2 linked regions of the Nothobranchius furzeri genome follow. The protein of the gene in region 1 interacts with the protein of each later gene in a biochemical or structural test. Links are inferred from orthologs where the notes say so. Each region holds a gene or a part of one and is shown on either strand. Other genes may lie near its edges.

The links.
Region 2: the proteins of GRB2-associated-binding protein 1 (region 1) and grap2a form a complex in vitro, tested with the Homo sapiens proteins (2 studies listed by BioGRID and IntAct, with this or other methods). The link is inferred for Nothobranchius furzeri from reciprocal best matches to the Homo sapiens genes GAB1 and GRAP2.

The regions. Positions count from the first base shown.
Region 1 is NC_091742.1:87,973,552-87,983,990, forward strand, and holds the start of GRB2-associated-binding protein 1, read left to right. Parts: upstream 1-1,252; 5' UTR 1,253-1,613; coding exon 1,614-1,688; intron 1,689-1,719; exon of another isoform or gene 1,720-3,119; coding exon of another isoform or gene 3,120-3,140; intron 3,141-7,119; coding exon 7,120-7,248; intron 7,249-7,336; coding exon 7,337-7,502; intron 7,503-8,822; coding exon 8,823-9,000; intron 9,001-9,609; coding exon 9,610-10,226; intron 10,227-10,439. UniProt on the Homo sapiens protein: Adapter protein that plays a role in intracellular signaling cascades triggered by activated receptor-type kinases. Plays a role in FGFR1 signaling. Probably involved in signaling by the epidermal growth factor receptor (EGFR) and the insulin receptor (INSR).
Region 2 is NC_091745.1:28,872,982-28,883,420, forward strand, and holds part of grap2a (GRB2-related adapter protein 2a), read left to right. Parts: intron 1-5,758; 5' UTR 5,759-5,813; coding exon 5,814-5,891; intron 5,892-5,960; coding exon 5,961-6,052; intron 6,053-6,221; coding exon 6,222-6,341; intron 6,342-9,318; coding exon 9,319-9,505; intron 9,506-10,439. UniProt on the Homo sapiens protein: Interacts with SLP-76 to regulate NF-AT activation. Binds to tyrosine-phosphorylated shc.

The sequences.
Region 1 (10,439 bases):
GTTTAAAAAAACGTTTTGTTTCTGAATTAAGAAAAAAATGGCAAAAAAGTATGGATATTTTTTTTAATGAGATGCTGATGTTAGTGGAAAATTAATTAAAACAAACATAAAAAGATCTAAAAAATATTACGGGTACTTTTACTGTCATTCTGTTGTGGAAAACATTCAATGAAAACTCTGAAAAGCTGCTTAAACCTGCATTTTTTTATTATTGTGGGCCGATCTATGTTATTAAAATGATCAGAGCCACTACTGAGTAATGTGGTAACTTGAGGGGAACAGTGAAATAGTAAAGCTTTTGCTGTATGCTTCTTCATGTTGAATTCAAATGAAATATATACAAGAAATATTTAATAATAAGAATAATCATTGTATGTATATGTAACAGTGATGTTAGGGCTAAAAGGCAGAATATACGTTTTGTGTGTTTGTTTTTTCTCATTAAAGTGGAGCTTAACGTTGTCCCATATTTGAGTTGTCTCTGTCCCACGTGTGCCAAGTTGGGATCTGGTCACCCTTAGGTGTGATGCGAGCGCCTCTACTTGGAAGTCATTTGGCTCACGTGCCCGGTTATTTTTGGGCACTGGAGCAATGCAGGGTGTTCTCCAGAGGGTGGGCATTCCCCCAGAGTCACCCCCCGTTCGCCTCCTTGTCATTAGTTCTATTGTTTTGTCTTCCCATGTGGAGCAGCAGTCCACAAACCAGTCGGTATGGTAAGTGCGCAGCTCCAGAGATTCACGACTAAACCTGCGTCTGTTTTAAGGGCAGAACAGCAGAGGCGCTTGTGCATGAACGTTATGAGTTTGGTAATAAAAACGGTTCAGTGTGTGTGAGTGTAAAGCTCAGGGGAACGCTGATGAATGATGTGGAAGAAAAAAACATTATAGTTTATTTATGAAATGTAATCATTTAATAGTAATTATCACAGAGTGGTGGCTGTGGTAAATATTGGTATAATATTACAAAATGATGCCTGATATTTGTTGTATTGAAAACTTATTTTAACATACAATCGATCATCAAGGGGGTTTCGACAGTTCTCAGAAAAATTTAGTAAAAACATTGAAAAATGTCCGTTCTCATAACTCGGGATTTAGTTTTTTGCATCAGAAGACCTGAAAACTGGCGACGGTTACTGAAAGTTTTGTTTGAAAACCATTCCTCACACATGGGGGGGGGGGGGATTTTTTTCCTGTCTAACAGAATAGGGGGAGTGAGCAGGAAGGGGAGGAGCCAAAGAGAGGGAGGAGAGGAGAGAAGGAATGTCTGAGCTGAGGGATTGTGTTTGGTTATGGAGGGAGGAGTGATTCTGTTGGGAAATAAGTCTCTCAGGAGGAGGTGTGACTGCGTTAGTCAGCAGACGCGGAGCAGCTCTGGTGTGTGTGTGGATGAGCTCCTCCCAAACAGGATTCTTCTCAGCCAGGGAAACGTGTGTGAGGACAGAGCTGATCTGAGGTCCTGAGTTGTTTTGGGTTCTTCTGATTCAAACTCCTGCCGGCTGGAGTCTGGTGCGAGGTTCTGCTGGTTGAGTCTGTGGATTCAGACGGGATCTTCACCTGATCTGACTCCCGACCGGCTGTTGACAGGGTGACTGACTAACCAGAAACATCAGGATGAGCGGAGCGGCAGATGTGGTGTGTGAAGGATGGCTGAGGAAATCCCCACCAGAGAAGAAGCTACGGAGATACGTGAGTCCTCTCAGTTTCAAAAACTCATCTATTTCTTTATTTCTAACTAGATTAAACACACTCCACCGGCACTGGACTGGTGTTGATGGATGCTCATCTGAGTATTTTTTCTTAACTTTAATCATCATCGGTGTGCTGTCACCGTGGACGTGAGTCATTTCCTAAAGCCATGACTGTAAAACAATAAACACGTCCAGCAGAGAGCAGCCGCTGAGCTGAGACCCAGAAACGTTCTCATCTAACTTTTGTCTGCTGATAATAAACCAAACTGTTAAATCTGGATCCACAGCACCAGGTTTCCATTTCCTACTGTAAATCTTTAACAGTTAACTCAACGGTTAGTGGAAACGACACAAAGTTCATTCTGCATCTTTAAATTCAAATCTCCAACACCTGATGCCAGAGAGCTGGATCGGACACACACACACACACACACACACACACACACACACCACATTTCTGACATGCCTTCCCCGTGACTTGACCTAATCTCATCTCTCCTCCATATTTCCTCCCGTTTGCAGGGAGAAGCAGAACAATGTCTGCGGTCTACTCTTCCATCACTCTTTCTCTTTCATTTGTTGTACTCTCTCTTCCTCTCCTTTGGTCACATGCCTTCCTTTCTCTGTTTGTACGGAAAGTAAAGGAGGACTAAATCAGAGCAAGAGGGATCTATTTTTAGTAGCGTTGCTGTTTGAAACCTTCAGTTCAGAGAAAACGAGCTCAGATATGGGACATCCCAGCATGCTTCTAACGAATCAGCTGGTTTCAGAGATGTTTGCAGGAAAAGGTTTTTAGGAGGGAACCACTGGACAGGACAGGCGGTCAGCAGGGGAAACCAAAGAGGAAGACATCATAAAAAAGATTTAGTCCTCGCATGTACAATCTAGCACACACACACACACACACAGCTATGTTTCCATTGTCAACACCATAAAACCAGACTCGAGCGGCCCTAAAGGCTGCAGCAGCCTCCACGTGTTCCTGTAAAGAATGTGGATGAAGTTCCTGCTGCAGCCTACCTCCTCTTAACCTCCCTGCTCTGTCGAAAGCAGTGTGTGTGTGTGTGTGTGTGTAGGAGAAAGTGCGTTCGGGTGTGAGAGAGTGTGTGTTGCGTAATAAACTAATCGCTCTCAGCTGGGCCTGCCTGGAAGCTTTTAGGGCATCTGGAAACGCGGAGAGAGCGTAAACGTGACGTCGCTGACGTCAGCGGGTGTACGCGTCACAGATGCGTTTATGACAGTCTGACGGGAGGGAAGCTGACCTGAAACTTGTTTTCAAATGTAAACAAGTCTGATTTCACATTGTTGAGTTTTATTCTTCATCCTGTGATGGAACCATTAAAAGTTCTCCATGACTTTCGGGATCGATAAATGAGTGAGCCACAGCCACCCTCTGAGAGTCTGATGGCGACGTCACGTCTGAGGTTTCATGGACTCGGCTCTAAAGTTGGTGAGAGAGAATCGACATGTAGAGGGTTCATCTAAATAAGGAGATGTTTCTTTTGGGGGTAATTTTAGTTTGGAGGCAGGAAAAGGGAAGAGATATTTTAACTCTATTGTAGCTGCTTCCGGCTGAGGTCAAAGGTCAAAGGAGCAAACATCAGGAAACCAGAGGAGATCGCTGCAGGAAAATAACTTATCTCTATTATTACTAATATGTCGCCTTCACATGATTAAATCAAAAATAGAACACTTCTTCACAGAATAATTTTTAAAAAGCGCTTTTTAAACTTTTTTTATTCTCTGGTTCAGTTTAGTGGTTAGAAATAAAGTTTTATGTGGTTTGCTGATGTTGCTCGGATCAAAACTCATCTGTCATCAAACCTCTCCAGTCTCAACAGTGTTTTTATTTTTTAACCAAATTACTATTTTTTATGCATGAATATTAAAGTCAGACATGTTCATGGAAACAGGCGGAGAAAGCACGGAGAACGCTAATATTTGATCCTGTTGATTAGAATCAGGATCTACTTAAAACATCACCCTTGTTATTCCTAACATCTCAGGGAGGGTGGGGGGTTGTGGGGTGGGGGGGTAACGCCTTATGTTTATGTTTATTTATTTGGCCGACGCTTTTATCCAAAGCGACTTACAATGTATAACCTATAGGGCATGTTGTGATCTGTGGGGGAAACCGGAGTACCCGGAGGAAACCCACGCATGCATGGGGAGAACACCCAACTCCACACAGAAAGGCCACAGCCGAGTTTCGAACCTGCAACCTTCGTGCTGCGAGGCAACAGTGCTAACCACTGCGCCACCATGCAGCCCTGATTATTTCATTTCATTTATTTATTTAAGGACCGTGCACATTAATATACGTTACTGTAAATGTGCCAGTGTTAGCCAGCAGGCTAATTTTCAACTGTAGTCCAGTGGCAAGATGTTATACTGAACACGATGGCTAAGGAGAAGAAAGAAAGAAAAAAACAAGAAAAAAACAGATTAAATGAGCATAGTAACTAATTAATATACAATTAAAACATAACACACAAAATAAAAACAAAATAGAAAAAAGAAATAAATAATTCATATACAACTCATTAGAGAATCAAAAGTAAGTGATAACTGAATAAAAAAAAATTACGAGTTAAAGAAAATTAACCATTTGGGCTCAAAGGCCCCCAGTTGGGGAATATTAACCCTTTGATGCATAACGGTCACTAAAGTGGACAGGTACTCAAAATTGTTATTTATTTAATTTTGCCATTAAGCACAGCTGTTGAAGACTTTAATGAATTTGAGCTCCTCCATTTGGACTTCAGTAAGTCAAGCCAACATATTTCGGTACAACTGAGGTGGACATGTAAGAAATTATTTGTAAATTATTCAACGTTATAAAAAATATTGGTTGAAATTTGTTTCATTCACACCCAAATATGTATGAAAAACAATTGTTTCAAAAATCTTGGTTGAAGATTTCATAATTCATGCATCAAAGGGTTAATTCATGCTCTAAATATGAATCGTTGTCGTCAAGCTGCACCTCTAAAAATACATCAGAACCGTAGCTGCACGGCCACGCAAGCATTTCTTATGTGCTCCCAATCAGTGTTGGGAGTAACGCGGTACATAAGTAATTAACTACTGTAATGCATTGCTTTTTGCTGTAATGTGGTAATGTAAGGCATTACAGGGAAAGAAAATGGTAATATTTACTCGGTACAATTGTCAGTAACGCGGTAATTACAATGCATTTTTAAACCCAGAATCTAGATGCGGGTTTCCTAAAAATTCTAATTGCGGGAAGCCTGAAAAAAGATCCAGTATCCACATATATGACGTCATTTATGGACTCAGCTTTGCGGGCATTCTATGAGCAGAGAGGACGCAGTGGTAATGGCTCAAACACTCCAGCTGCGTCCTGCGCGCGGCCGCTATTATATTCACAAAATCGCTCCACCAAAACAAAGTAATTCGTTTGCGATGGTTTATATCAGCCCATATTCTCTGGTACTTCATGTACTTTTCAGCTGAGTTCATAATCTGTGCACCGGTGATTTCAACTCCTTGCTGCTGGAGTGCAGCGCAAAGCTTTTTTTATTTATTTATTTATTTATTTATTTTTGTGTTCGGTAGATCCCTTTGGCTGATTAGTTAGAAACTAGGAAATCTAGTTTACAGTTTTTCTAGAAGACGGAGAAAACATGCAGCATGCAGGAAGGTTAGAGAGAGAAAGGGCAGGAAATTATTCACATAAAATCAAGAAAACAAAACAAAGTGCTTGAAAAGAAAAAAGTAGGTAGATTTATCCCCAACACACATTTTTACCAGTGAAAAGCAATAATATATAAGCATTTAATATTTATACATGTGATAGAATCAGATCACCCCAGAAGTCAGTCCCACATCCAGGGCCGTATCAAGGCATTTGGGGACCAAGGCAAATATAGGCTTGGAGCCCCCACCACCTCACTCCCTGCTCAGCTAATCTAAGATGGCAGCGTGCTGAGAGTACAGATCATTGTTGCTTTTATTTAACAAACAATCATTTTAAAGCACTGTTATTATATCTGACTGTTTTTAACAGCAATCCTAGCTCAGACACCACATCACTTTCCACATATATGTCATGAGCTCACTGAGCGTCACATGACCAGATTTATATTGAAGTTGTTTTGGTGAAAGTAACTTAAAGTAATGCAAAAGTAGTGTAATGCCTTACATTTTAAAATCAGTAATATTGTAATGTAATGAATTACTTTAAAATGAGGGTAACAAGTAATAAATAAGCCCTGCGCCTTAAAAAATACACAACATCACACAAACACCAAAAACAGTTGTGTTTATTCCAACAACCAGAGAACATAGCAGAGGCTTTACCGTGTAACCCGACTGAATAAACCCGGTCTGAAACGAGGCATGGCCAAAAGAAACGTTGCACAAAAGTTTCTCCGTTTAGAAAAAAACAGAAACAATATTTTCCTACGGACTCCCGCCTGCGTCCATCAGGCTGGAGCCTCGGGACAAGCGATTATCAAACAGATTGTTGGGGGAAGAGAATAAACACACACTTCCACTGCCACTTCTTACCAGCATTTCCTGTCCAGCTACTTCCTCTTCCTGTCTGTGTTGGGAGAGAACCAAGTGCTTTAAAGAAGGTCACCTTTGATCAGAGGAACACACTAAAACATCTTCAACCTCCACAGAAGCACCAAGCTAAATCCTGCTGTTCAGTTTAACGTCTGTCGTTCCACACAACGCTTTTAAATAAAAACCTTTCTTCATGCTCTGATTCACACCTTTAAAAATCATCAGGCGCATTTAGCACTACCTACACACTAGCGCTCTACAACCTCTGACACACACACACACACACACACACGGGCAGTGAGTCATGTCTGAAACACGAGGTGCCATCCTGCGGGTGTGGGAGATGTCCTCCACCCGTAACGCTCCTTGCATGAAGGAAACATCCAGAAAACATTGTCCAACATTTAAAAATCACCTTCATCTCCGTTTTGGGTGATTTAATGTTTGTGCTAACCGGAGTGTCAGATATTGGAGCTAGAACATGCAGAAGCTGATGGAGGGAGAGAAAAGACCATTACATAATCAGACTCTACAGTCAGTAACATGGACGTAATTTTCACTTTAAAAGTGTGTGTGTGTGGGGGGGGGGGGGGGGGGGATCTTTACAGTATACTCTAATGGGAAACAGGCTTCAACACAAATGGTTGTTTTCCGCTTGGTCCTAGAGCTCAACCAGTGTCAAATTAGAATAGCGTAATATTGTTTTTGGATGGTAAAAAGTGCAGGGGTCAAAACTTGACTTTGGAAAAAGTGGGGGGCACATGTCCCCCCCCTGTCCCCCCCAAAATTACGTCCATGGTCAGTAACCTACTTTAGTTCCCAGCTGCAGGAATGTCCACAGGAGAAGTCTAGAACGCTCTTGGATAGCTGATGTTTTTCTCCAACCGTCTGTCCAGGCGTGGAAAAGGCGCTGGTTTGTTCTGAGGAGCGGTCGACTCAGTGGAGAACCCGACGTTCTGCAGTACTACAAGAACCAGAATTCCCGTCGGCCAATTGGGACCATCAATCTGAATCTGTGTGAACAGGTACGTGTTGTAAAACGTGATTGGAGAAAAGGTCAGAGGTCGCGTTGACGTGTTTCACGAGTCTGGATGTTCCTTGTCTCAATTCCAGGTGGACGCCGGTTTGTCTTTCACAAAGAAAGAGCTGGAGAGCAGCTTCGTGTTTGACCTGAGGACGGAGGAGAGGACCTGGTACCTGGTGGCCGAGTCCGAGGAGGACATGAACCGCTGGGTGACGTCCATCTGCCTCCTCTGTGGATTCAACCCAACGGATGACGGTACGGCACACTCAGGCTGGAAGACATGCCTGTAGATTTGACTTGTTTGGTGTTTGGAGATGGACGGTTGGTCTGTGTGGGCTGATGCTGAGTCAGCGTGAAAACTGGTAGGAGGAGAAACCACGAAAGCAGCAGAGAAAGAGAGGGACAGAGAGGTCGCTGGGACTGTCACTGAGTCAGTCATGAAGGACGTCTTACAGCAAAATGTAGAAATCTGTAATCATCCATCTAAACCGGGTCTTTCTACAGCTTAAGTGAACTTTTTACCAGATGTCTGCTTGCAGATGCATGAAGGCGATAGTTTTCTGCAGAGATGAGTGGATTTTATGTTTCGGCTGCATGGTCCAGTGTAAGTATTTACTACAGCAGCAGGCTGACAGTCAGGGTGCCCGTGTTTATAGATCAGATACCATCTAACTGGCTAACTGATTCCTCACACCTGTCCCTGATGTCTGACGTGTAAGCGCCTCGTGTCCGTGTCACATCCTCCCTCGTGCTTTAGCTGGTCAGTGTTAGGGCTGCTGCACACATGGACCTGACCTCCTCCGGCCCATGCTCCACTTGGGCTGGGGTTCTGCCGCACCGCACCATCTAGGAAAAGATTCTGTCTGCTTAATCTAGATTAGATTATTAAAGAAAATAATCTGATTTTAACCGTTTTAATACACCAGACGGAACTGATGTGATGGACAGAATTTAAAGTTATCAGTCGTTTTTAACTAAACTTCTAATTTGGCCTTTTAGACTTTTCTAATGACGTTAAAGGATTATTTTTGTTTTTTAGCTCTTTTTGACCCACAGACACACACACACACACACACACACACACACACACACTCCCCCTCCTCTCTGACACCTTACCTGAGACACAACGCATCAGCAGGGTCCCTTTTGTAAACTAGCTTAAATTCCAATTATAGAAATGCGAACGATATTTGACCAACTTTTCTTTGTTAGCTGGTTTTGTTCCAGACTAAATGTCACCATTAATGTTGCACTCCTGGTGCAGCAAAAGGTCAAAATACAGCAGGATTTCCTTCTGCTGCCAAAATATTATTGCTGTGCAAAATAAGGACCACAATACAACATGTACAGCTGTGTAAATGTTTACATAACAACAACGAGATGTGCTTTGAAGTCGATGACAGGAATAGCCGCTAACTCGCCGGTCCTGTTCCTAAACCAGCAGCTGGTTTAGTGTTTATTTAGTTATCTAGTCCAGGTTTAACCAGTTTAGTACTGTTGTGTGATGGACGAGTACGTTTTAACACGCGTGACTGTTCATGATTATGTTACCAGTTCCATTTTCTACATTTTCAGAAAGACGTTTGAGCTCCGCCTCCACATGCGTGACCACAACCAGTGGTACCCCCTCTATCTCTATGGTAACTGGGTCTGTCCCGCCTCCGTATGACCCGGTGGGCGTGCGTCACCTGGAGCACGACAGCAGCACGGAGGAAGACTACCTGTGGTTGTCAAACTGCCAGAGTCACATGGGGTAAAAAACACAAACACAGAACTAAATTATTACTTAAAGCTGGATTTAACAGTTTCAAACCTCCCTGATCTTACAACTTAATGACCCGGTATTAGCAAGATGAGGGCTAATGACGTTACATCAAAGAGTGAAATTCGTTTCCTACGCCTCCAAAACGAGCCAAACGTGCTGCAGCTTGCTTCAGTTTCATGCGCTTCCCAACTGTTTGGATCCAGTGAGACTAACAACACACTGATGACAATCAGAGGGATTAGCTCAGGCCTCTTTCGCATCCGTAATGAGTCAGATGTGCCATGAAAGATTAGCTCATTTAGTTCCTAGAACCACGGGTGTTAGAACAAGCCGAGGATCTCCAGGAAAAACCAGAACAGAGCAGCTGAGAGTTTCAGGTTCAGACACGTCGGACTGAAGGATGGAGGTCCTCCGCCTCAGTCACACCCACGTGTTCCTGGTGCATCTGTGGAAAGGATCCACAGATTCTTGGCTATTTTTTGTATTACAACTTTAAAGGAAAAAAAACATCATTGTTTTCTTTTACTGAGCTAGATTAAACCCAAATGCAGCCTTTTTAATCTAAGCTAGGTTAGGATAACTCGTATTTTTCTTCAGGCCTCCTTTGGGTTCTTTCACTTCCCTGGAAACTGATTACAACGACAACATCTTCCCTCATCCTTCAGCCACCTCCACCTCCTCTTCCTCCTCCTCCTCTCCGTCCCTCCCTCCCAACAGCCTCCCCCCTCCATCCTCCAGCGTCAGGACAGCCCCCTGGACTCTATCTGCAATGACGAGCCCCCTCAGCCAATCGCTGGACGCCAGCATGACCTCTGACTTCCACAAACGGGCCGGCAGGCCTCACTGTCACCCCTCTCCTCATCCCAGAAAACACTCTCTAGATTTCCACCTGCGTCCTGTGGCCGCCTCGCTCAGAGAGGACACACATGTGGGCGGGGACCTCTCGTTCGCAAATAGCGGTTATCAGGTCCCCCGTCCAGCGTCAGCCTCCACACCTCAGCAGCTTCCTCCTCGCCGGCCATCATCAACGCCCAGTGTAGACTCCCTCACACCAGCAGAGCTCCACGCTTCCATCCCAGCGCCCCCTCCTCGGCCACCCAAGCCCCCTCCCAGTGCCACTCATGGAGAAAGCTCGGGACCTGCTACGTTACCCAGAGCCAACTCGGAGCCAGAGAGGAGAGAGGGACGCACAAACAGAGGACACCAAACCAAAGGTAACAGCAGCATAACCAGGGGCGGATTTAGGATTGAAAAAGATCCGGGGCTTAGCCCAGATGAGTGATCCTCTTTTTTAATGAAACATTTCAACTTTCACATTTTGACCAACAGACAAATGCACTACATTACACTTATTCACTCATATGATATAATGCATTTATTGTTAGCTGGTTCTGTGAAAACAAATCCTCTCTACTTTAGGATGTGAG
Region 2 (10,439 bases), on another chromosome or scaffold:
TCATAAAGTAGTTAATGATAATTAGGGATGCACCGATCAGGTTTTTTGCTGCCGATCACCGATACCGATATCAAAGAATGCTGATCACCGATACCGATCACCGATACCGATCACGTGGATTGGCCAGAAATTTTCTACAACATTATAATGAGTGCTACAAACTACATAATCTGGGAATAAAGGAAATGTAACCTAATCTAAAATGGTCTGTATTAGGGTTGTCACGGTGTGAAAATTTAACCTCACGGTTATTGTGACCAAAATTACCACGGTTTTCTGTATTATCGCGGTATTTTTTTTAAACGTGCTACATTTTCACACAATTAAATAAACCCTGTATGTCAGGAAATATTGTCCTCAGTTTGTGTCTAAATTTAGCCTAAAATGTGTTATTTTGTAATTATGTTGTTTATTTGTTTACATTTTTCCCCTTTAGTCTTTAAAATACCAATATTTGCCCATAACTTTGTATTTTATGTCTGTTTGATGTCATCATTTAAAAATATTAGATCAGATGATACTCAGTACTCAAGTAGCCTTCTAATCAGATACTTTTTTTTTTTACCCTTACTTGAGCAATCCGTATTTCAGGAAAATATTGACCTCGGTTTGTGTCCTTCCAGTGAGCTTTGCAGATGTGGGAAAATGTCATCAGGCAGTAATCATTGTTAAGTTCATAATTATTCTCGGAGAGAGACCAACTCTTATCTGCCCCTGGGAGCCCCGTAATGCATAGCGTCATTTCAACATGGCGGTGTCTGCGACACGGTTTATATGCAGGTAGCGGCGCTGCGGCTGCTTTATATAGCGACTCGTTGCGTTCTCCCTCAACCCAAATCCTCGGATCACGCATTTTAGCTAAAACGCTAACGTTAGCTTGCCTTGCATTGACTGTAGAGTTGTGGGTGATGGTCACGCAGATGTGTCATGAGATAAGAAGCGTTGCTGCCTTTCACAGACACTTTTTCTGCTCGTGCTGCAAACAGGATAGCCGCCCGTCTTCTATAAACTTCCTCGGCATTCTTCAAATATCTAAAATATGCCCGTACTTCTGACTTTGTCTTCTTTGAGGGATAATAAATGTCCTCCTGAGCGCTGCCGTCTCCTCCTTTGACCATTATTTCAGCTTTAGCTTCAAGAAAGTTTTGTTGTAAACAAAGCGTGTATGTGCCGCCGGCAACTTCAGCAGATGATACGGTGGCTGGTAAGGGTCACCGCGCCTACACCGCAGCCACGGTAAACCCACCAAGATAATATAGTTTTTTAAAAACAAGACGGTTATTATTGTCAACATTTTTTTTACCGGGGTTTAGCGCTACACTGGTTACCGTGACAACCCTACCTGATCGGTTTGCTTTGATCTATTTTGAAAATTCCGATCAAAACCGATAGGGGCGCTATCGGCCGATTACGATCAAATGCCGATCCATCGGTGCATCCCTAATGATAATATCCCAAATTGCATAAAAGTTTATTTCAAACAAAGAGATGATCATTATAATCTCAGAGGTGTATTTATGTTTGAATGTGTAAAAGCCAGAACTAATGTGAAATCAAGATGTGTTTCCATTCTTGGTGTGAAATTGTGGAATGAGTTAGATGATGATTTGAAGAAATGTACTTCTTTACTAAAGTTTAAAGCAGGTGTAAAGTGTCACATATTTACAGGGTATGAAAAGTAAGTATAGACATTAATGAATTTTCATTGTGGTTATTTATATTGGGGAAAATAAAAGAAATGTATATTGGTTATGTATCTTAGGTGGAAAATAGGGTAGGCTAAAATAAGCTTTGCTTCTGCCTATTCCTTTTTTGGTTTAAATTCAAATTGTTAATATTGTTTTGTTTGAAAAAAAAATTTTATGTTAATGCTATAAACCAAAATAAAGACCGAAAGAAAGAAGAAAGAAAGTGTTAAACGCCTTTAGTTTCACCATCAAGATCAAATATAAATTAATTACTGTTATCAGTGATAACACTAATAAATTTATATATATATATTAATCAGAATTATTATCGCGGGCGGCCGCCGCCAATTAATTCGCGGACCTCGCAGTAAAAACAGGTTCACTCTGTGTGGATATTTCAGCTCCTTCCCAGTCATGGACCAGGACAAACTTGGTATCGATGGATTCGTGGTAATCTCAGGAATGAGAAGCTGCCACTGTTTTTCGTATAGCATGATGACACTGGTGTTAGAGGATTGTTATTGACCTGGTTAGATATTTTAAGCCTATTTTATATTTCTTTATATTTGATCTTGAAAACGGACAATCTTATAATTTGGCTGATAATGCAGGGATTATAAAATTTAGAGTACATTACATTCACAGAGAGAACCTGGTTTATTTCATGTCATATGTATTTAATATATCAATATATATCAGCAAAGCTTAACATCATGAACCATGACAGACATGACTGAAGAGCAGATGAAGATATCATGCCAGGCACTGATGAGAAAATATTACAAGGATCTCACAGCTGAATTTGAGAATGAGATGCTACACCTGAGAACAATATATGGTGCCACATTTCCACACATTCGGTCTCCTCTTGAGCTGCTTAATGCCATCTACAGGATGCAATTACAGAGCATTTTTGGAGAAGTTTATATTGGACTGAGGATATTTTGCACACTACCTGTGACTGTTGCTGGGGGTGAACGGGCTTTTAGCAAACTGAAACTGGTGAAAAATTATTTGAGATCAACAATGTCCCAGGATAGACTGAACAGCCTAGCTCTTCTTTCTATTGAAAGCCAATTAGCCAAAGGATTGGACTTTAAAGATCTCATAAGTGATTTTGCTAACATGAAGACCCGTCAGTGGGCATTTACTGGAAAATAAATTCCAGGATTTTTGTTTGAACACATTGTTGGCAAATAAAAATAATTATATGTGAAGTCTGGGCTTTTCACTTTTATTATGCTGGCATTTGTATTTGCTCAATATAGAGGTTAAACTAAGATCATATTTATTGTCTTGTCTTATAGCATGACAAAAAATGTGTAAGAGAGATATTAAGTAATTGAGCATGGGGGCCCACCTAGAAGACTTGTACCTAGGGCCCAGAATTTGGTGCTACGCCCCTGGTTCCAACTATCAGCTTGTGGAGCTCTCAGGAGACCGATGTTTTCCACCCGTTTCTCCCCTCCCCGCAGCTCAGCACATCTCTGATCGCTGCGGCCCCTGTCTGCTGCGCGGGCTGACGGCTTGTGGAGCTCTGGGATGGAAACCTTTCCACCCGGTTCTCCCTAGCGGCAGCTCTGCGCATCTCAGATCGCAGCGGCGCTTGTCTGCTGTGCGGCTGCCGGCTTGTGGAGCTCTCGGAGACCTCTGTGTTCCACCCGGTTTTACCCAGCGGTCAGCCCGGCGTATCTCTGACTCAGAAGCTCTGGTGTTGTGCACAGTTAGCTCTCAACTCAACTCAACTCAACTTTATTTATAAATCGCGCCTTACAGGCAAAAAGATGCCACCAAGGCACTACACTGATCAAATAAAAACATAAAACAGTAAGTCCAGAAAATAAAACATTGTATCACACGATACAGTTAAAACTACAGTGAGTAAAATCGCTATAAGTAAAACAATAAAACTAGTTAGAAAGGTTAAAAGACAGGTCATAAAAATATGTTTTTAGCCTTGCCTTAAAAACTGCAACAGAGGTGGAGGCCCTTATGCTGAGAGGAATCTTATTCCAAAGCTTAGGACCTGCCACAGCAAAGGCCCTATCACCACGCGTCTTTAGGTGCGTTCTTGGGACCGAGAGGAGCATGGAGTTCTCCGAGCGGAGTGACCGTGAAGGGGTGTATGGTTGAAGTAGTGACACCAAGTAAGGAGGGGCTAAACCATTTAAAGTTTTAAAAACTAGTAAAAGTATTTTAAAATGAATCCTAACATCAACGGGCAGCCAGTGAAGCGCATCCAGGACAGGAGTTATGTGGTCAAACTTGCGCCTGCCCTCTAAAAATCTGGCAGCAGCATTCTGCACCATTTGCAACCTGGCTATTGAGCCCTTGCTCACACCGAATAGAACAGAGTTGCAGTAGTCCAATCGCACCGTAATAAAAGCATGGACCATCGTCTCAAGATCATGACGTGACAGAAATGGTTTGAGCTTTGCCAGCCGACGAAGGTGGAAAAAGGAGGAGGAGATCACTCCATTGATGTGGGTATCAAAACTAAGGGCGCTATCTAGTTTAACACCAAGATTAGTCACCGATGTAGACAGCTGTCCCTTAAATGACCCACAGTCAGTTAGGGAAGAGTCACAATGTATGCTTGGAGCAAACAATATAGCCTCTGTTTTCTGATCATTTAGGCTCAGAAAATTTTCAGTCATCCAGGTCTTGATCTCCCTCAAACAGTTTGTAAGAATAGAAATAGAGAGACCACTTGACGTGTTCAGAGGCAGGTACAGCTGACAATCATCAGCATAAAGATGGAATTGAACTCCAAGCTCACGACAGATGTCACCTAAGGGTAGAATGTAAATAGAAAACAACAGAGGGCCCAATATCGAGCCCTGTGGTACCCCCCAAGGTAGATCAGAGTACTCTGAGGAATACCTTCCCATCCTAACACACATTTTTCTATTTGTCAGGTATGATCTAAACCATTCCAGGGCTAATCCTGAAATCCCGACATAATGATGAAGACGGTGAAGCAGCACTTCATGGTCTATCGTGTCAAAGGCTGCCGTGAGGTCCAGCAGAAGTAGCAACACAGAATTACCGCTATCAGTCGCAAGATAGATGTCATTGAGTACTCTAACCAGAGCAGTCTCCGTGCTGTGCAGAGCTCTGAAGCCAGACTGGAAAGTCTCAAAAATGGCATTCTCGTCCATAAAAACCAAGAGTTGGTGATAAACACATTTCTCTAGCACCTTACTCAAGAGCTCTGGTTGTAGCTAGGTTGCTACCTCCGTTAGCTTAGCTCCCACCTCCGCGTTAGCTTTGGGTTAGTTTCAGGTTAGCTTGTAGCTAGTTCGACCGGGTGTCGTCAGTTGATCCCAGCCTTACAGCCCCACCCTCAGCTCCACCTCTCTTCCCTTTTGTGGAATTGTCTGGGCTTGACAGAACCTGTGACACGGTCAAAATGGCGGTGGTGGCCACCTCCCATTTCTCTTCAAAAATGTGTTATTGAGCTTGTGGAAACCCATTGTCCATATATGTATATGTCGTTGGTACACACACCGGTGCTCACATGGTGCTCTCATAAGTATGGACTTGGGCACGTTCAACACATGTCTTAAGGCTGTCGTTGCCACTAAATGCACTATGATATATTATTTTGTGATTGTTCAGTAAAACAATGATGATTTTATATTTCTTCATTAGGTTGATGCAGTGATGATGGCATGCTCCTGTTGTATTGTTGTGTGTCCCTTTCCTGCAGGTCTAGAAGCAGACTATTGTTCATCATTGATTGTTCTTTTTCGTGGATTGACAGCACACTGAAGTGCTGTGAACAAGAGCTCGGAGTGTCTGTCATAGGTCATAGGTCAGATAGCTTGTTTTGGAGACTTATGTGGCAGTGTTGAGAAAAAGCAGCATTAAAACACTCATTTTTACACTGTGAAGATACTAAAACCATAAACATATCAAGATAAATGCTTCCGTTAGAAACAAAGTGTTTAGTCAATAAGCGGATTTTATTATCAGATTATAACATTATGAAACATTTTCCTCTCAGATGGAGCCACGGACAGAGTGTAAACTTCCTTAATCTTCCTTCTTTTTCTTTGTCTCTGCAGAAACCCACTTGTCGTGGACCGCTGTCTCCTATTTTTCTAACCAACGCTGTTCCTAATGGAGTCAAGAGGAAAGTATGATTTTACTGCCACAGCAGACGATGAGCTGAGCTTTAGGAAGGGTGACATCCTGAAGGTGAGTCTGAATCATCAGGTGTCAGGATTTATGAGCCGATGTGGGTCCTGAATCTGTGTTCCCGCTCAGATCCTTAGTCTGGAGGAAGACTGGTGTAAAGCTGAGATAAGTGGGCAGGAAGGATACATACCCAAGAACTACATCGATCTGCAGCATCCGGGGTGAGATAGACGCACACACACACACACACACACACACACACACACACACACACACACACACACACACACACACACACACACACACACACACACACACACACACACACACACACACACACACACACATTAACTCAGTCCCCAACACAACAACCCACTGCTCGTTGTTCAGGTGGTTTCGGGAGAACATCAGTCGCGTTGCTGCAGAGGACCAGCTGAGGAACAAACCCCTGGGAGACTTCTTGATCCGAGGATCTCAGAGTTCTCCTGGAGAGTTCTCCATCTCCGTCAAGTAGGTCCACTGAGTCTCTGCTCTGATGTGAGCTCAACTTTAGCAACAGGAATCCAGAATCTCCCTGACTGTTGGAGACAGAACTGGGACAAAACCTGAAGCTGGAATCAGACTTCCTATGAAGCTTTTATAAGTTCATCTGGGTCACAAGATGTGAGCGAGAACATATTTCAATGGTGCTAATTTTTTTTATCACTATTTAGTCATGAAGTTTATTTATTAGTTCTCAATTTTATCTCGATTCTTCCTTAACTTGTCTCGTGCTTTTGTGCTTTCTGATTTAGAAGCTTGACTGGGTCAGGTTTCGGATGGGTTTTAGGCTGAGTCCAGATACCTGCACTGATTCTGAGAATATTCCGAGTAGTTCAAACATTTCCAACATTCCTGAACCTCACCGTTAGCGATGTTTACGAGGAAGTTTCCAAAGTGTCTCAAAATGCTGTGGGGTATCTCCAGTGAGTCTCGGGGCGTCGCTCCCTCGTGTTACTGAGGTTTTGCAAATACTGAGAAAAAGACAATTATTGCTTGAAATTAATCAGAGTTGTTGCAGACGTCTGAATCATGTCTCGGTTTAGTTTCTGAGGTAAAGTGTGAGACTTTGGCAGGAGTTGTGGACAAATGGTGAAGAAAAAGAAGCGTAAATGAAGCTCTCTGTAACTGACCTACAGCAGAAACATCTGTCTCAGAGGTTAAATTTCAAGTGCCTGAAGTACCTATTTAATCTGGTCTGGCTTCCGCTGGTAAATAACCAAATAATCTGGATTATGATCGGGACTAAAATACATTTCCTGTTAGAAAGACGAACTTCCTTAGATCATATTTTAGTTTCTGTGTGAAAGTGATTTAATTTCTGTTGGCGTGTTTCTTCTGTAAAACCTGTTCCTGCTCTGGTTTCATCATCAGAAATAATTCATCTTTTACACACATTAGTTTCCCAAAACTCTGCAAGACTTGTTATTAAACTAAATCTAAACAAGACAAATGAAACTGATCAGAGACAAAGTTCTGTCCTCTGAGTAGACGCTTCGGTTGGTTTCACCGCTTTAGTACAGAAAAGTGCTGATGATTAAATTCTCTTCAGCTGTTCTGATGGTGCGCGCACTCACACACACACACACACACACTCACTCACATATATATATGTATGTATACATACATACATACATACGGTATACATATTTATAAATATATATATATATATATATATATATATATATATATATATATATATATATGTATAAATATGTATGTATGTATGTATGTATGTATGTATGTATGTATGTATGTATATATATATATATGTGTGTGTGTGTGTGTGTGTGTGTGTGTGTGTGTGTATGCAAAGCCAAGTTCTGCATGGACAATGATCAACCACTTCCATCCTTCTTCAGCAGATTGAAGCTGAATTATTTCAAACATCTGGACGCTGAAGCAAAATGAACAGTGACCTAATAAAATATTTAAATTAAAGCTTAAAGGATGGTGACATAAATCATCCTAAAATGATTTTGAATTATTTGTTAAGAGTGAATAAAAAAGATGATATACAATGGTCCAGGCGTAATGTCAGCTATTCCAATACACTATAAACTCATCTCCATGTTACTTCCTGATCAGTTGAAACATGGTTGTTGCAGTTTTCCACATTGACCAGCAGAGGACAATCCAGCCTTGGGATGTAGGAAACTGGGAATCACTTTGGTTTTCATAATAAAATATAAAAAATGAGCCAGAATGCTCCATTTCATCCTGAAAAAAATGTTTCACATTTCTGGCACAAAAAAAAAGTCTGATCCTGGAATATGTAAATATGTGTATATATATATATATATATATATATATATATATATATATATATATATATATATATATATATATATATATATATATATATATATATATATATATATATATATATATATATACACTATATATATACAGTATATATATATATATATATATATATATACAGTATATATATATATATATATATATATATACACTATATATATATATACTGTATATATATATATATATATATATATATATATATATATTTATATATATACAGTATATGTATATATATATATATATATATATATATATATATATATATATATATATATATATATAACTCAAAGCTCCATAGGAGGAATAGAAGAACAATGTGATGGTTACTCTCTGTTTAGAATGTATTGTAGTAAATCTGCAGGGTTGTTGTGTTCTTAGGAAAACGGAAACTTGAAGGCCAACTCTCTGTAGGAGTTTCAGGTCACTTTGGCTACATTGTAGCTCATCACCATCAGTGTGTGAATGTGTTCTCTTTGCCAAAATACATTTGTTGGACATGAGAAAACTATAACTGTCCTTCTTCGCCTGAAGTCTTCTGCACATAGCAGTGACTGAGCTTGTAAACAATAGGGTATAAACACAGGTTGCACATGAGCCTTTTTGACGTGGCCACTGACGTAGTGAGACCTAAAATCATCGTCAGTCACGCACACAAACAACGTAGAATTTCCAAATCTCCACTTTGGTCAGATCTTTTGAAAGACTTGTTTTTTGTGCCGTTTATTTTCACTTTTGTGTTGATGACAGGCCAAATGTAGAAAAACGATTTAGTTTTGTGGGAAACCTGGCTAGGTGTGTACAGGGCCTCATTGATGTTAACATGCCAGGTTTTTATTTCCATGTTTTAAAAAACTTGTCATCGTCTGTTAAATGTTGGTTTCCCTTTGAGATAAATCGGTATTGGTCCTCAAAACCAGAGGCGGTGCATTTCCAGATTTAGCTGTTTTCCAGTTTAAATGTGTCTAAAATTGTTTGATTTTAAATTATTCCAATTGGACAAAAGTTGATTTTGTTTGTCTTTAGCTTCACAAACTGAATTCCTGAATGTTTTTTCTGTGACAGTCCAGAGCCGAACAACAGACTTCCTCCTGTCTGACCCTGACATTTGTCCTCCGTCTTCCCTCAGACACGAGAACGACGTCCAGCACTTCAAGGTGATGCGAGACAATAAAGGCCAATACTTCCTGTGGTCGGAGAAGTTCACCTCCATCAACAAGCTGGTGGACTTCTACAGAACCACATCCATCTCTAAAACCAGACAGATCTTTCTGAACGACGGCAGCGCAGACACCAGGAGCCCCCCCGTGACCCAAGTAGGAACCGATTTCTACGCCTTAGTCAACGTTTCATTTAAAAGAACTCAAACTACACAACTAAAATGTCATCTCCCATTATGACTATTATAATGTGTTATTTATCAACAAATCATAAAATAATTCAGAGTTAAAGGTTGAAAATGAACTCATTTGGCCTTTTTTGATATTTTAGGTTATTTTGTGCAAATAATCAAGAAGCTAAGTAAGAAGCAGGAACTGAAACTGAATTATTATGATTTAAAATAATATAAATCACTGTTGTAACATATCAGCAATTTTAGCTGAATTACATTTTAGTCCCTTCTTCTGAAGCATAACTGAAAAAAAACATATTTTAATCATATAAAAAAACTAGAATGTTTGAGGTTATATCATTATTTTACAGTATTACTTCAATAATAATATGTTGTTAACTTATTATTACATTAATGAATTATTAATACATTGCTACCTCTAAATAGTGTATTTTATCGCTAAACTGTATTAAATAACCCTAATTCAAAAGAATAAAAATGCAAAGAACAATATTTCTTAATATAATTCTTGACAATAAATGGTGAATATTTCTATTAGAGCTGTTTGTTCTATTTTAGGTACTAAAATAAGATAATTAAAACTATAATATTTTATTAGGAGACAGCTTTCTCTGATTGTCCCTTCAGACTGACTTTAGAGTACGTGTGTCAGACACAAGGCCCGCGGGCCAGATGTGTCCTTGTGTCGGTAATAAACATATAAAATATATTAAAACTGACCTGCTGGCCAATTTTACCTTAAAGACTACAACTCTCATGATGCTTTGCGGCGTTAGCGCGGCAGAGCCGAAGCGCCCCCTCCTTTGTGTTTTTCCAGCGTCTGCTGCCGGTGTCGGTGCAGGATCTGCTCGGGTACAGAATCGGCTCGGGGTCCTTCGACTGCCGATGACGTCACA